2 linked regions of the Oreochromis niloticus genome follow. Each later gene encodes a partner of the first gene's protein in a complex. Links are inferred from orthologs where the notes say so. Each region holds a gene or a part of one and is shown in the gene's direction. Other genes may lie near its edges.

The links. The genes of interacting proteins can lie anywhere in the genome.
Region 2: the proteins of wdpcp (region 1) and fuz are in contact, whole or in part, in a cryo-EM structure (PDB 7Q3D), measured with the Homo sapiens proteins. The link is inferred for Oreochromis niloticus from reciprocal best matches to the Homo sapiens genes WDPCP and FUZ. Residues at the interface, in NP_056994.3 of Homo sapiens: Arg55, Ile57, Asn75, Lys78, Leu82, Glu418, Asp419, Arg420, Leu421; in NP_079405.2 of Homo sapiens: His293, Glu372, Glu373, Pro374, Arg379, Gln397, Pro399, Thr400, His401, Gly402, Ser405, Leu406.

What each region holds. Positions count from the first base shown.
Region 1 is NC_031978.2:7,703,805-7,711,561, reverse strand, and holds the start of wdpcp (WD repeat-containing and planar cell polarity effector protein fritz homolog), read left to right. Parts: upstream 1-4,747; 5' UTR 4,748-4,875; intron 4,876-4,931; exon of another isoform or gene 4,932-5,065; intron 5,066-7,757. Other genes in the region: mdh1ab (malate dehydrogenase 1Ab, NAD (soluble)), read right to left, coding at 885-1,061, 1,170-1,292, 1,570-1,745, 3,362-3,458, 3,866-3,964, 4,419-4,571. UniProt on the Homo sapiens protein: Probable effector of the planar cell polarity signaling pathway which regulates the septin cytoskeleton in both ciliogenesis and collective cell movements.
Region 2 is NC_031982.2:20,160,647-20,167,600, reverse strand, and holds fuz (protein fuzzy homolog), read left to right. Parts: upstream 1-4,832; 5' UTR 4,833-5,140; coding exon 5,141-5,315; intron 5,316-5,438; coding exon 5,439-6,439; downstream 6,440-6,954. Other genes in the region: guanine nucleotide-binding protein G(I)/G(S)/G(O) subunit gamma-5, read left to right, coding at 976-1,101. UniProt on the Homo sapiens protein: Probable planar cell polarity effector involved in cilium biogenesis. May regulate protein and membrane transport to the cilium.

The sequences.
Region 1 (7,757 bases):
AACTGGACTCATAGGAAATGCTGCCCCTGCCTGGTGAAACTGTGTCATTTCACTGTACATAAATCACTACTACTACTACTTCTTAACTTATTGTCCCACAAATATCTGCTTTACATGGGCTGCACACTGCAAGCAACAAGGTATAATCTTGTTCTCCCTTTGTTCATAAGTGGCAGATTGACAGAAGGACCGGTACACTGTCTGTAGCGATGGAGAGATTGTTGTAATGAAGAGAGCAGATCATAACAGTGAAGCTGTCAGGTAAGGACAGGAACATAGGGTATTGCTACAAGATGTGTGAAGAATAAGATTAGAGACAAGCACCTTCTAGGTAAGGCGTTTCAGGCATACCTACCTACCTAAAAGAAGCCAGGATAGACCCAGCAAATATGACTTTTGGAGGTTTTGGAAACACATCCTGAGGATTTTTGACCATTCTGCAAATCTTTGAGGTTTTTGGTTCACAAAAATCATGTTTTTGAATGTCTCCCAGAAAATATTTTGCTTGAAGGAAAATTAAATGTTTGCTTGCCAGAAAAAAAAAAAAAAAAAAAAAAAAAAAAAAAAAAAAAAAAAGGGACTTCATGTCTTACTGACATCTGCCCGCATGAACAGCAACTGGAAAACTCACTATTGTGCAAATTTAAAAAACAAACAAAAACAAAACAAAAAAAAGAGCATTGTTGAACCACAAATGTAACCAGTAATGTTAAAAACCATTAATCTTATGAGGAGCATCAGGATGAAGAAAAGATGGAAGAACAATAAAGTAAAATATGAGGATCATATTATAGGCCTTTTCTCAAGCACAGCCAAAAGCATCCAAGTGTGAGTATACTCCAGCTATAAAATATCATGCTTTCATCTAGAAACCATCAACTCACAGTAATGAAATCGCCTTTAAGCCAATCATCATCCTTGATTGCATCAAAGCAGGTCACCTCACTGCCGGACATGTTGACCTTGCAGTGGTGAACATCTGGGTATTGGGTGGAGGAGTGGTTCCCCCAGATGATCACATTCTTCACCCGAGTGGCTGGAACACCACAGCGCATCGCCACCTACAGGATACGAAGTAAAGTCAGGTTTTCAGTCAGCCACGATTGACAATGTGGCTGCCAAACATCTGAGACTGACATCAGAAAGTGAAAGAAGTGAGAGGACTGTACCTGAGAGCGAGCCCGGTTGTGGTCCAGACGGGTGAGGCAGGAAAAGTTCTCTTTGGGGATAGAGGGAGCAGACTTGGCTGCAATCAGACAGTTTGTGTTGGCAGGGTTTCCCACAACCAGCACCTGAACACACAAACCAATTTAAAAACATATGCCATGTAGATTTTATGTCTTATTACTATCATGAGTAAATCGACCAAACTTGTATTATGCAACACCGAGAAGGGAAAAATGTTTTGGCATCAGGAAATACTTCATTAAGATTTTGCTATTTTTCCCAGTAGCACAAAATGTTTAGGAAACATTTCTATCCATTTGGCAGAGGCTGAGAAGTTTCTTTCAGATTTGCTCACTTGACAGGAAGGGAGTGTTTTACATCAAAAAATATGCTTCCAATTACCTTCACAGTCTTCTTGGCATACTTATCCAGGGCAGCCCCTTGGCTCTTAAAGATGGCCACATTGGCTTTAAGCAGGTCCTTCCTCTCCATACCCTCCTTTCTGGGCATTGAGCCCACCAAGATAGCTGCATCCAGGTCCTTGAAGGCTACCTCCTCTTTGTCAGTGGGTATGATCTCTGTAGAAGGAGAAAATTAATTGCCAATAGGTTTTTAAAACTCCACTCTTTGGCAATTTGTCAACTTTGAACCTTGAGAGGGATTATTAAGTTCATAGTGGAATTTGTTCTCCACCTGAAGAGAACCAGTCAAATGTGTAAAAAAAAAAAAAAAAAAAAAAAAAAAAAAAAAAAACCCCACACACACACACACACACACACACACACACACACACACACACACACACACACACACACACACACACACACACACACACACACACACACACACACACACACACACACACACACACACACACACACACGTAAAAACTTTATAGTACCTGCAACTTTTTGCAGAATGCCTTTGAATTTCATAACAATATACTAGGCCTTTGGGGGGGGACATAAGTACTTAGGTTGGTTAAGGATTTAACCTTTACTGTTAGCACCCAAGGTGGAAGTAGACCTCACTTTTATTTGATACAGGGGTTTTTTTAGCAAAACTCAATCAAAAATTATTAGCACTGTGGTGAAATTGTGTTTACAAACCATATTAGTGAGAATTGGGGATGCATTTAAATGACCATAAAATATATTTTTGTTTATTAAACTGAAAATAGCAGGACAATACTTGAGATTTCTGACAATGCCATAATACATGGGCAAACTGAGTTTCCAATACATGATCCCCCCAAAGGCCCATTTTGAACTGGAAAAAAAAATGAATTCATTTTAAATTAATGGCACATCAGATCTTTACTGCAATATGTGAACATTGTGTCAGCTCCTGATGAAAGTTGCATGACTAAAAGTTGTTCTCACACACTCCCTAAAACTGTTCCAACAAAAGAACATGAGGTACACAGGAAGTCCTTCCTGTTTGTGTTGTGCATCTGACATTTACCGTGTTGTCACCTTTCTTTTTGAATTGTTTGAGACAAAGCATCACTCTAAATTGCAATCATAATATTTAGAAAAAAAGGTGACCAGTTTGATGAGAACTGCATTTATCTTTGTCTTGATGTGCATGAGGTGTTGTCTTTGCATCGTGGCTGGTTAATACAGGGGCCTCTTTCAGCCCCCGTGCAAACAAAAGCAAAGAACAGCACCACTGCAAAGTAAAAATTCCAGGTCACAATGGAGATGGCACATAGTGGCGCCTCATGACTGAGTCCATGACAGCAGCCACGAAACACACACCAAAAAACTAAAAAACAAACCAAAAACCAAAAAACTGGGTCCATACTCAGACAAGAAAATGAGCCCATTCTGTGCAAACAAATCTCTACAGCTTATTCAAGAGAAACCATCCACCTCCAACAAGAAGGGTGTAGTTGCTCTTATTAGCTAACATCTACTCAAGGATCATATTTTGGGATATGTAGGTATAGAAGGAAAGGTGAATTAAAACATTTACAAGGTGATCCTTCTGCCAAAAAACAAAACAAACAAACAAAAAAAACATGAAGAAATTGTATCTGTATAAATGGGGAAAAAAAGATAATTTAGCTACTTCTGCTTTTAAATATCCAGTTTGTCAAAAAAAGAAAAAAAAATGCCTACAAAAAAAAAAAAACCAAAAAAAAACCAAACTGGTATTGCTCAATTATTTGAGCAAAGCCTTAAATGATTACCTTTCAGAAGTGGAAGGGCACAGTCCTGCAGCTCCATGACTACACCTTCCAGGACCGGCAGCATGGGGGTGATGTCCAACAGGAGCAAGCTGATTGGCTGCCATAAGAAAAATGAAATAACTGAATTTAAATGATTATTATGAAATTGCATAATAATCCCTGTTTACCATTACATGTCAGTGGGAGACTTAGTTCTCTGGGACAGCGTGAGAAGGCCTAAGCCATGTACCAATTGGATCAAGTGGCTTTAAAGTTGGCGTAAGACTCTTGGCACAAGAGCCACTTCATTGACTTCAAGGACAGTCCAGGGTGATCGGAGCAGTCATGAATAAGCTAGTGTAACCCAATCAATTTCCAAAGGAACAACATACAGTATGTGCAATGTCATCCCAGATATGACCTGGAAAATTTGTGACATTCCCAGCTGTCAGTTTCATGGGTGCGCCTGGTGACAGGCAGAGGGAACTGAGTTTTTAACAAGCGCAGGGCAAAACCCTTCTTTACCTGGTCTTGGCCAAACACATCTCCTTTGGCAATGCTGAACAACAGGGAATAGGCAATCTGCCCAGCAGCACCGGTCACCAGAACTCTAATAGGCTCAGCCTGCAAGACACAAGGTGAAGAAAACTGCTGTTAGCAATCATAGCATTGAGTTCTCTCATAGCACACACATGAAAGTTTAACTGCAACTGCACGTGGGCTGGGTGTCTATTCTTGTCTAAAAGATTTAGTAAAGCAGGGGGTGAGTTCAAAAATAGACATGTGCCTGCAGACACGACTCAGGGTTGCATAACAAATGAGTATATACTTGGGAGATCAGCATCAATTTAAAATAACCAAAATTAGAAAAGTGTCACGTGACTTTGACACGAAACGAGACTTTTTAAATAAAGTCAACTTTTGAGTCCTCTGGTTGGCTGCGTCATGCCGTGAGCTAGAAACAACGCATACCTTACTTTGTGAATTTCCTGCATAAGCAGGGTGAATATCAACAGTTTAATCTCCATTGCAGAAAAAAAAAAATAAGATAACCAACATATTTACTGTATCTACTCACCATACTGCCAAGACAAGCAGGACGTCCCTCACGCTTCTCTGTTTCTCCCACTTGTCGCTCAAGCCAGAGGTCACTCGTATTTAAGCTCTTTTGATTACGACACTTAAAATAGCTAAACGGCAGCTTGAGGATCCATGTAGTTGTAGTTTTCATCGTTTGTGTAGTCTTTTAGGTATTTTTCAAATGCCACATAAGTAAGCCAGCTTCAACAAGAAATGTATTAGCAAGCAAATAAACAATCCTACAGACTGCAATACTGTTACCGATGCTATAAAAAATGCTTCTCCATGATATCGATATTTACTGTGCTAGCTGGTTAGCATAGCCTTGGAAGATTCGCTTACCGTTGCTTAGCGACCTTGCTAGTAGCGTGAGTGCAGTTTGTCATTAGCTTAGCAAACATATACACAGACGAACAGATGGTGCAGTTAATTTGGCAGAGGAGTGAGATGATCAGGTGAGACTATCTTTATATATTAGGGTACAGTACAGTTCGTAAGTCTAGGTTAATGCTAGTAGCTATCTATCTGTAGTGAACAGTCAGTATGAAAGTTTTGTAGTCGCTATTAAGTTTAAGAAAACGCTGAAGTCATTCGGGTGGAGAAAGACCAGACACTGCTGCAGCCCTCGTCAATGAGCTAATTGAGGTAAGTTGTTAATAACCTGTTTTATTCGATATCCCCGTTTCCTTCGTGGGAGCTGTGTTATGGACCATTCTACAATTGCAGGATATTTTCAGTTTCTCACATGAATTTGAAAACAATTCATGCACAAAATACTAGAACAGGACAAAAGGTAAACGTAGTAGTTGAAAAAGTGGTTCCAAAATATTTAAAATGCAAAACAGTATTTGAGACCCCCTCCCCTTTTGCACTAACGTTTTGAAAACCAAATTGCATGTCAACTAACAGTTAAAATACTTAAAATACGTTATGAATCTTTTGTTGTTGTTGTTTTTCTGTGTTTGTTGACATATCTCTCCTATAATACAGCAATAACTCCGAACAGTAATTATCCTCTGCAAATTTTGTCCCACCGTATATGCACAACCCTGATACTGAAGTATATTCAGTCTGGAAAAGGAAGCAACAGAACCGTCATGACAAAGACGAAATGACACGATTGAGTTGTGTGTTAACAATATAGGTCAACTAAAAGTCAGACCTCTTTGATACATTTAGCATTTTCCCTTTTAGTATTTTCTGACCTTCCGACCTTGTTACCCGTGTTACCAAAATAAGATTAATTAATTTCGGTTTCCTTCCTTTTATATAACTATATTTATCATTGACTGTCACAGTGCATTAGGTTCCAGAGCTCACATCTGTCAATACCCTGTTTTGCCCCACTATGTTAAATGCATATAAAGCAAAGAATACAAACACGTGTTAACAAAGTAATATTTTATTCAAAAAACATTTCTGTAGACCTGAATATTTTTTTCTAATCTACAAATTAAAACTCATATGTCGATTCTGCATACAAGAGTTTAATGTGTTGCCTTTGTAATAGTTTACATTTTTCTATGAATAGTATTTTTAAGATTTCAAAATAGATGCTGAAATTCTTAAAAAGGTTGACTACTGAAAAGTTGGGTAAGATAGATTTTAAGTTGCTTAAGTTAACATAAATTAAGTGTTAATTTAATAGTATTTAGTGTGAGGGTGACTATCTTTAATTTAATGGTCAAAGATTTAATAAATAATACTTTTCAAATCAACTTTTCCAGACTGAAGTATTGGCAGCAGGGTTGTGCCAAGCATAGCATACAGTAACTAAAATATCTTATAAAAAGTGTATCTTTGGTTGGTAGTTGGAGAGATACATTTTTTTTAATGATTTATTTGTTTTTTTTTATGTATAACAGAAATGTATAAAATGAAGGGTTGCATTTTTTTAAGCATAAATTGTTCTCCAGTTGTAGTTGTGCTAACACAAACTTAATGCTTCTTTATGTAAATTCTTTTTGTAGTTTTTTGCCTTTAAAGCAATAGTCTAGACCTATCATAGCCAAGGTATGACAGAGTGAAGTATTTTTGTGCTTGAATACAAGTTATGATCTGTTTTTACCGAGTCCTCTCCTGTTGTGAGTCTCCTCACCTGTACTTCCTCAGGAAGGGAAGTGTTTCTTTCTGCTGTCTTGTTTTAAGTTGATCAGTTAGTTGAGCGTGGGCATCAATATTTTATGGCTTCATTACAGGCTCATTACATGACTTGAACAAAAAGCAAATGAGATACTGTTACACCTGAATGGTATCAGACTTACTCCAGACTAAACTAAATACCAATTACATTCACAGCCCCTGTTTTTAGACACTTTACTAGTAAATGTTTCATGTCAAAAAATGATATCCTTATGTAAACTGTTCAGTTCAATTCAGTTTTATTTTTTCCCTAATCACTTTTTGACACAATATCAGGTTGGACCTCTTTTACTTTTAGAGTTGCCTTAATTCTTGATTTTCTCTATTGGCTGCACATCCATAATGCCATGCTCCCATTCCACGCCAATCCAAAAGTGGTGTTTGGACTTAGATCCAGTTCAAACACCACTGTGTTTTATGGACTAAATCTTAAGATCTGATGGCTGTGGAGAACATTTGAGTTAAGTGAACTCACTATTATGTTCAGGAAACCAGTGTATTCAGAAGTTGGGTACAATGCTCAGGTAGGCTGTGGTGTTTGCTCAGTGTCCAAGGGCCCTAAGTATGAAAAGAAAATATTCCCATTATCCCATAACACCATTAAAGCACCACCAGCAGCCTGAATTGGTGATATGAGGCGGTTTGTATTTTATTTTCAGCAAGTTCTGATCACACTGTCCAAATGTTGCAACAGAAATTAAGACTCATCAAACCAGGCAATATTTTACAAATCCTATATTATCCAATTTTTGTGATTCTGTAGGAATAAATCACCTTTCTACCGCATTCTGATGCATGGTCTGAACTTCAGGAGATCAGCCATTGTCTATGTCTAAATGGATTGGGTTGTTGCCGTGTGATTAGTGGATTAGATTTTTGGGCAAATGAGAAGCTGAACATGTGTATCTAATAAAGTGACTAGTGAGTGTATATTATTCTGATTGAGGTATTGATAGTTTGAGCACATTTGTTTTGTTTTGGTTTTTGATATTTGGGATTGTATTGGTTATTTGTAAATAGGAGTTTTAAGTAAGTAAACTACAACTGCAACAAAGTACTGGAACAAACTCATCAGGAGTTTTATCCACATTAGAGACAGACTGCCATGAGTAGATCTGTTTGGCTGATGAATGAATTAATAAATTTGTCCAGCACCAATCAATAACATCTCTAATATATGGACTTATTCTTTATC
Region 2 (6,954 bases), on another chromosome or scaffold:
CATTTGGAGGTGGTTCCTGTGGGTCGTTAACCCACTATTGATCTGTGTCCTCACATAAGCCAAAATGTGAAAAGGTCTCTCAGCATTCCTGCGATATCCCGCAGTGTATAGTGTTTTCCATCCAGAGATTGCTGTGGTTTTAATCTAGTGTCACACTGTATAAACATGTTGTGTGTTTTCAACTGCAAAGTAGAATTTTGTCAATTATATCAAATGTACAAGGCAAAGGAGTATGCTGGCTACCAACTTGTACTTGCTGCTGTATATAACAATAAGATTTGAACTTGACATCAGCACATAATTGATGAATGATGAGAATGAGAATGAGAGTTTTTATTGGCTGCTTCTGCAAATTCAAACACTGAACATGTTCCCAAATACTCTCTATAACAACATTCAAACAACCTAAAACACTGGATTCAGTCATGGTTCTAGAAAATGTGCCTTGTTTACAGTCCCATGTAAATGAAGAGCATCTATTTTAAAAGAGTTCCTGCATTTCCAGTTATGCCGCAAGCAAAATTGGACACCAAGGCTTCATCTCTGATATTGGTCAGGCTTAAAAAGTGCATCCCACAGTTTCCTTTACAGTTGTGCAGTGAAGTATTATTAGCCCTGTTCAGGTCTACAGTTTCAGGGGTGGCTGGTAGAGCAGGTCATCTGTCAATCGGAAGATTGGTGGTTCAGCCCCTAGGTCCTCCAGGCTGTATGGCAAACATTCTTGGACAAGATGCTAACCCCGATGTTGGATAGAAAACACTTAAACCTTCCAATAATGGCTGAATGAGCCATGTTGTATAAAGCACTTTTATTGCTCAAGTAGAGTAGAAAAGCACTATATAACATCCAGTCCATTATCCATTCTTCCCAGCTCCAAAAAGCAAAAAGCATCATACAGGTGACTGAGCAGTCATTCAAAAATATTGGGATGCACCTGCTCTAAATGACTTGTGTACTTTTTCTTGTCTTCAACAGGTTTCCCAGGCAGCTGCAGATCTACAACAGTTTTGCATACAGAATGCTCTCCAAGACCCTCTGCTCACTGGTGTGTCATCCAGCACCAACCCTTTCAGGCCGCAGAAGGTCTGCTCCTTCTTGTGAAACCACTGTGTCCATTGGTAAGTCGGCCACACTTTTGAATATGCACATGTTCTGTTGCTGAGCTACACATGCCGTCTTTACTGTGTATTCAGATTTCTTTCTTGAATTGAAAAACATCTGAGACTTGACAGTAACATTGACAGTATTTTCTAATAAATTGATCTAATGCTTGTGTGACCTGCCGGTGGATACTAAAAGAGTTGCTTTTTTTAATACTGTGAAACCTTGTTTCAGTTTATACAAATACAGTTGCATTGTAAATCAATAAAAATAGTCTGAATAAAATCTTCTCATCCTGAGCTGTTTAACCATTTAAAATGATTCTTTTCTTTTTTTCCTTGTTCTGTAGGCCTTCATTTTGATGCTACAGGGAAAAATTGACCTCAGCACCTGCTCCTTATGCCAAGCCATTATACTGCCACGGGAATTCTCAAAAGTAGAACTCAATGGATTTAAAACGGGAAGAAGACTGCCTATTTTTAGATAAGGTAGAAGACAGGAGACTGTATTATTTTCCACGGCACAGTGTGATTTTTGACTCAATTATTGTGCCTTTTCTATTCTATTTTAGTCATCACTGTTCTCAACTTTTTTGTATTTAATGAATAAAATATTCTTTACTACTCAAGTTATTGCCATTATCCTTTTCTTGTTTATCAATTTCCTGAATTATGATTTTTTTATAGTTCCATATTATTGTCAAATTTCATGTAGCCTTAGAGGCAACAGTTATGGAAACAGCTTGTGTATGAATCATTAAGTAGACCAAAGGAAGAGTTTGGGTCAAAAGATACTGCATTATACATGAAATTGGTGATGGGAGAAGTACTTTGATCTGTTTCTTGAGCCAAAATTAAAATGAGTATAGTGTAAAATTTAAAGCAACTTAAGATTTTTGTGCTGCTTTTTTCGTTTTTTTTGTTCTTAAATCAAAGTATTTGAACAAGTGTCATAACTCATGATCAGGACTCCAAACTGTGATATTTAAATGTGCATACATAGTTTATTGTACATTTACTGTACATTAAATTTGACAGGATTTGTTTCCTGTATTCAACTTATTGTACCTTGCCACCTTTATTTATGGTAAATGGACTGGTTCTTATATAGCGCTTTTCTACTCTTCTGAGCACTCAAAGCGCTTTACACAACTTGTGCATTCACCCAAGCACATTTTTCTAGGTGCTTTCTAAGTAACATTCACACACACATTCATACTCCGATGGATACATCGGAGAGCAATTTGGGGTTAGTATCTTAGTATCTTGCCCAAGGATTTTTGGCATGCAGACTAGGGGAAGCCAGGAATCGAACCACCAACCTTCCGATCAGTAGAGGACCTGCTCTACCACCTGAGCTACAGCCACCCTATTTATAAAGCACTTTAAAATAAACCAGGGTCCATAAAGTGCTGTACATATACAAATAGCATAAGCAGAAAATAAACAAATCAAACATTAAGAATAGAGAATTAGGGAAAAAAACAGTCAACTTCTTAAAAAGTGCTAAAGGCTTCAGCAAATAAATGTTTTCTGAGTTTTAAACTCAGAAAGAGAAGAGGTCTGCTTAACCTGCAAGGGCAGATGATTCCACAACTTTGGACCCGCTACAGCACACGCACGGTCACCTCTAAATTTACGCCTAGTTTTGGCACCTTAAGGAGCTGCTGATTGGAGGACCTAAGGGAGCAGGTAGGTGTATATGTAGCTGTGGGGGTAGCAGGTATAGGGAGAAAAGAAGGCCTCAAACTGAACCCTGTGGGACTCAACATTGAAGAGAAGCAGCAGAGGATACAAACTCACAAAGTTTCACAGAGAAAGTTTCCTCTGCCAAATAAGATCTGAACCACTGCAGTGCAGTACTGCTAACACCCACCAACTGCTCTAAATGAGAAATAAAAATTTTATGATCCGCTGTATCAAAGGCAGCAGTTAAACCTAAAAGCACAGTAATAACACAGTTACCTGAGTCAACTTAATGTAGTCAACTACATTTATGATACAGGATGTGGAAGAACTTGAGAGGACATATGGAAATTGGAAAGGAGACCAGCAATTTATTGAAATCTATATAAGCACACATGGAAATACAGTATGAACATTATTGAAACATACATGGAAATATAATCTATAAGCAAAAACTGTTTGTCCACGTCTAAAGAGTTTGAAAATCAGTATTTGGTGTGATGACTCTTCAACACCTGAACTCTGAGACAAGCTTTCTAGTAATTTCTTTAAGGAGTCTTCAGGAATAGTTCACCTGGCTTCTTGAATGAGAATCAAAGCTGTCTGGATGTTTGCTGCCTTCTGTCTGATTGGATATTGTTGAGACCTGGGCTCTGGGGGGTCAATCCATGACTGACGGTGGCCCACTGTATTTTTCTATCCACCTATGCTTTTACTGTATTGGCAGATCCCTGATAAAAAATTAGGTTGTTACCAATCGGATGGTTCCCATATAGTATTAACATGGTGGAACAAAATCTAACAGTGGCAATGATGGCTGCGCTTCTATCGAGACCATTCCTTCTGTGAACAGTAGGTGGAAAAACTATGGAAGAGGATTAGGGCCACTGGGGGGAAAAAGGCATGTCTTTGCCCCCCCAATTCTGAGATTAAATTCTGACTTTTTTCTCAGAATTCCAGAAAAGAAAAGAAAAAAAGACGTGCCCACTCTTTTTTTCCCAATTGCCCTAATCCTCTTCCGTAAAAACGTCCCAGATGCATTGTTTGCAAAAACCCGGCTTAAAAATATAAACATATATATATTAATGTGTATATATGTATGTATATATATGTATGTATATATACATATAAAAAAGTCAGAATTTAATCTCAGAATTGGGGGGGGCAAATTCTTACACATCTCTATTATTGCTAATTTATATTGTAATATATCTATATCACGACTAAAGCACTTTCTGGATGGATGCAAACTGCATTTCGTTGCCCTGTACCTGTGACATGTGCAATGACAATAAAGTTGAATTCTATTCTATTCTATTCTATATATATATATATATATACATACATATATAGATATATATATATAGATATATATATATATACACATATATATATATATGTGTGTGTGTGTATATATGTATATATGTATGTATATATGTATATATATAATTCCATTGTATTGGGTTAGTAACAGGAGTCCTCTTTATTTTAAAAGTTAATATTATTTAATTACAGCATATACTGATGATAAAATTACATCTCATCTTTGATTTAAAAACTGGTTACTATCCCAGGACCACCCCAAACAAAAGCAATACAAAAAAACTGACATTCTTTATTGTCTTTATACATAAAACATTTTTATTATATTTGTATACAGAAGGACACTCTTTAGTCTGAATTGCTCACGCTGTTTTTAATGTTGATTTGCAGCTTGCATTTGTACAAACGGTACAGCATTTTGTGTAACAATGTTCTGGGAAAATGATGAACTGGGCATCTTATCTGCTCGTGAGCTCGCGACTGTGGGTGAGCTGTTGGTTGAACTCTCGCGAGATGTGAACGTACGGAAATCACACCCGTGTTGAGAATAGCCGTTCCATGTACGCGGGCACTGAACCCAGGTCGGTCTCCATGTCCATCTCCTTGAGCGGTTACATCAGAGCGGTTAAGTCGTAACTGCAGCTCGACCAGCCGAATGAAACCGCTCTCACCAGTGTGAAGAATGAATCATGGGACAGCGTTACTGTGGAAACGACGGTAACTGCTTTTGTTAACCTGACATATTAAGTACAGTTAGCTGACAAAGCTAGCCGGCAGAATATATTCGGGTATAGTAGCTAGATTTGCTGCTTCATAGCTTGTCTCATTGTTCGTGGCCGGTTCAGTGAGCTGGAAGAAAATGGATTACGTGATGCTAACGGCTCACCCTAGCTGATGCAACTTTACTCGGTCATTGTCATTATACAATCAGCTCATTTAAACCCGTTAGTTAGCTGGCTCAGTAATCTGGTGCAGCTAAATAGCTAGATTGTTGGGCGTATGCATAACCTTAAATCACAACTACTGCCACGATGATGCTCCAGGATGGCTCTACACAGCTTCTTTGTCTCACAGCCAGCAGCGGGGTCCCTCTTTTCACAAGAGGAGCCTCCAAACAGCTGCCCTTCTCTGTCATAGGCTCTCTAAATGGTGTTCACATGTTCGGAGGTGGTCAGGGGGTAGTGTTGACCTGCTCTGAGACGCAAGGTGGAGGGAAGGTGGTGTGGAGAGTTTTCCAGGACAGTGTGATGCTCATCGCTGTGAGTGGAGGTGGAGATGGCGGAGTGGGCAGCAGCAAAGAGGAGGAGGCCCGTCTACAACGCCTCCTAGAGAATGTGTGGGGCTGCATGGTGCTAGTGTTAGGGCTGGATGAGCTGGTTAATGTCCGGAATGTTGAGAGGCTTAAAAGGGAACTCAGGTCCTGCTTCAGTCTTATTGATGAGCTGCTGGAGGACAAGCAGGAGGGTATTCTGGGAAACCTTACACATTGTGCTGATTCACTGGTGCCCCCAAACCCCGCTCTTTTTCAGGAGGCAGTGGATGGTTTTGCTCAGGCTGCAGACAGCGAGTTTGGTTGCCTCGTTGTTCATGGGCGAATTGCTACGGCAACTGAAAAGTGGTGGCGCCTCGCTCCGCAGGAAGTTGTCCTGCTTTCTGCTTTGATACGCTCACTCTCGGCCTCTGGATCGGCTTCTTGTGATTACCCAATTTTCCTTCCTCATGGCAGCCCCACTGTAGCCCACCGTCTTCTCCGCTTCCAGCTGCTGCCCAGAGCAGACGTATGTGTGCTGTGCGGTCCAACCCCATCCCTACATGGAGCTGAGACTGGGCTGGTGAGTCGTTTCTGGTCTCCCTTGGTCGAGACCCTGAGAGAGTGCCTGGCTGTTGGAGAACGCTACCTACCAGGGTCTGTATCCCTGCGCCCCGATGTGCTGGCACTTCTTCTCATCAACCGCGAAACACGTCGTGCAGTCTCCTGTGTACGGACTCCCAGTTACCATTACGATGGTCCATTACTCTCCAAGGCCCGCTGCTGGGAGCTGCTGAAACTCTTTTATATCTTCAGCACATCACGGTACTTCACCCAGGAAGAGCCTTTATTTGTCTCCACAGAAGAAAACGCTCAAAGAGGCAACACTGAAGACTTTCCTCTTGGATTCTCCCACCAGCCCCAACAATGTTATCTAGTTACAGAGGAATGCAAAAGCTATGGACTTCAAACACCACAGCACCAGCTGTTTCTGCTCATCTTACCATCTGTGCCCACGTTTGCGCTGCGTACACTGGCTACACAGACTCTGTCTGATATAGTAGCAGCCACAGGGTTTTAATTGAATTTCCTGTTTAACACCTTTTTTTAATCACAGGTGAATAGCTATAACATTAATGTGAATTTACATTTTCTTTACTGATTTATGCAAGCATATTATATGCTCACACACAATCATAAAGATCAGCTACTATCTTTTGTAAAGACAGCGATTAACTGTGCACTGGTAAGCAAATGTATGGTAGAAACAATGAAACACTACTCAAACTCTTACAGTTTCTACTATGCTGCCTCTAATGCTGGCAAAATATAAAAACACATTGAAATGTCACACCAAAGTGCTTTGAGTTTTGTTTTGCATCACTTTTGCACAACTGCCCTGCCTCTCTATAAGCTGGTTATTACATTAGAGGGCAGCACTGTAACAATGTGTATTAAAATGTATTGGAGAATAATGTGAAGATGTTACACTGGATTTAAAATTACCTGCTGTTTTTGTTGTTTTGACATTTTGAATAGTCTGACCTCAGAGGAGGTAAAATTATCTGTTTCTAAATATAGTTGGTTAATTTCTCT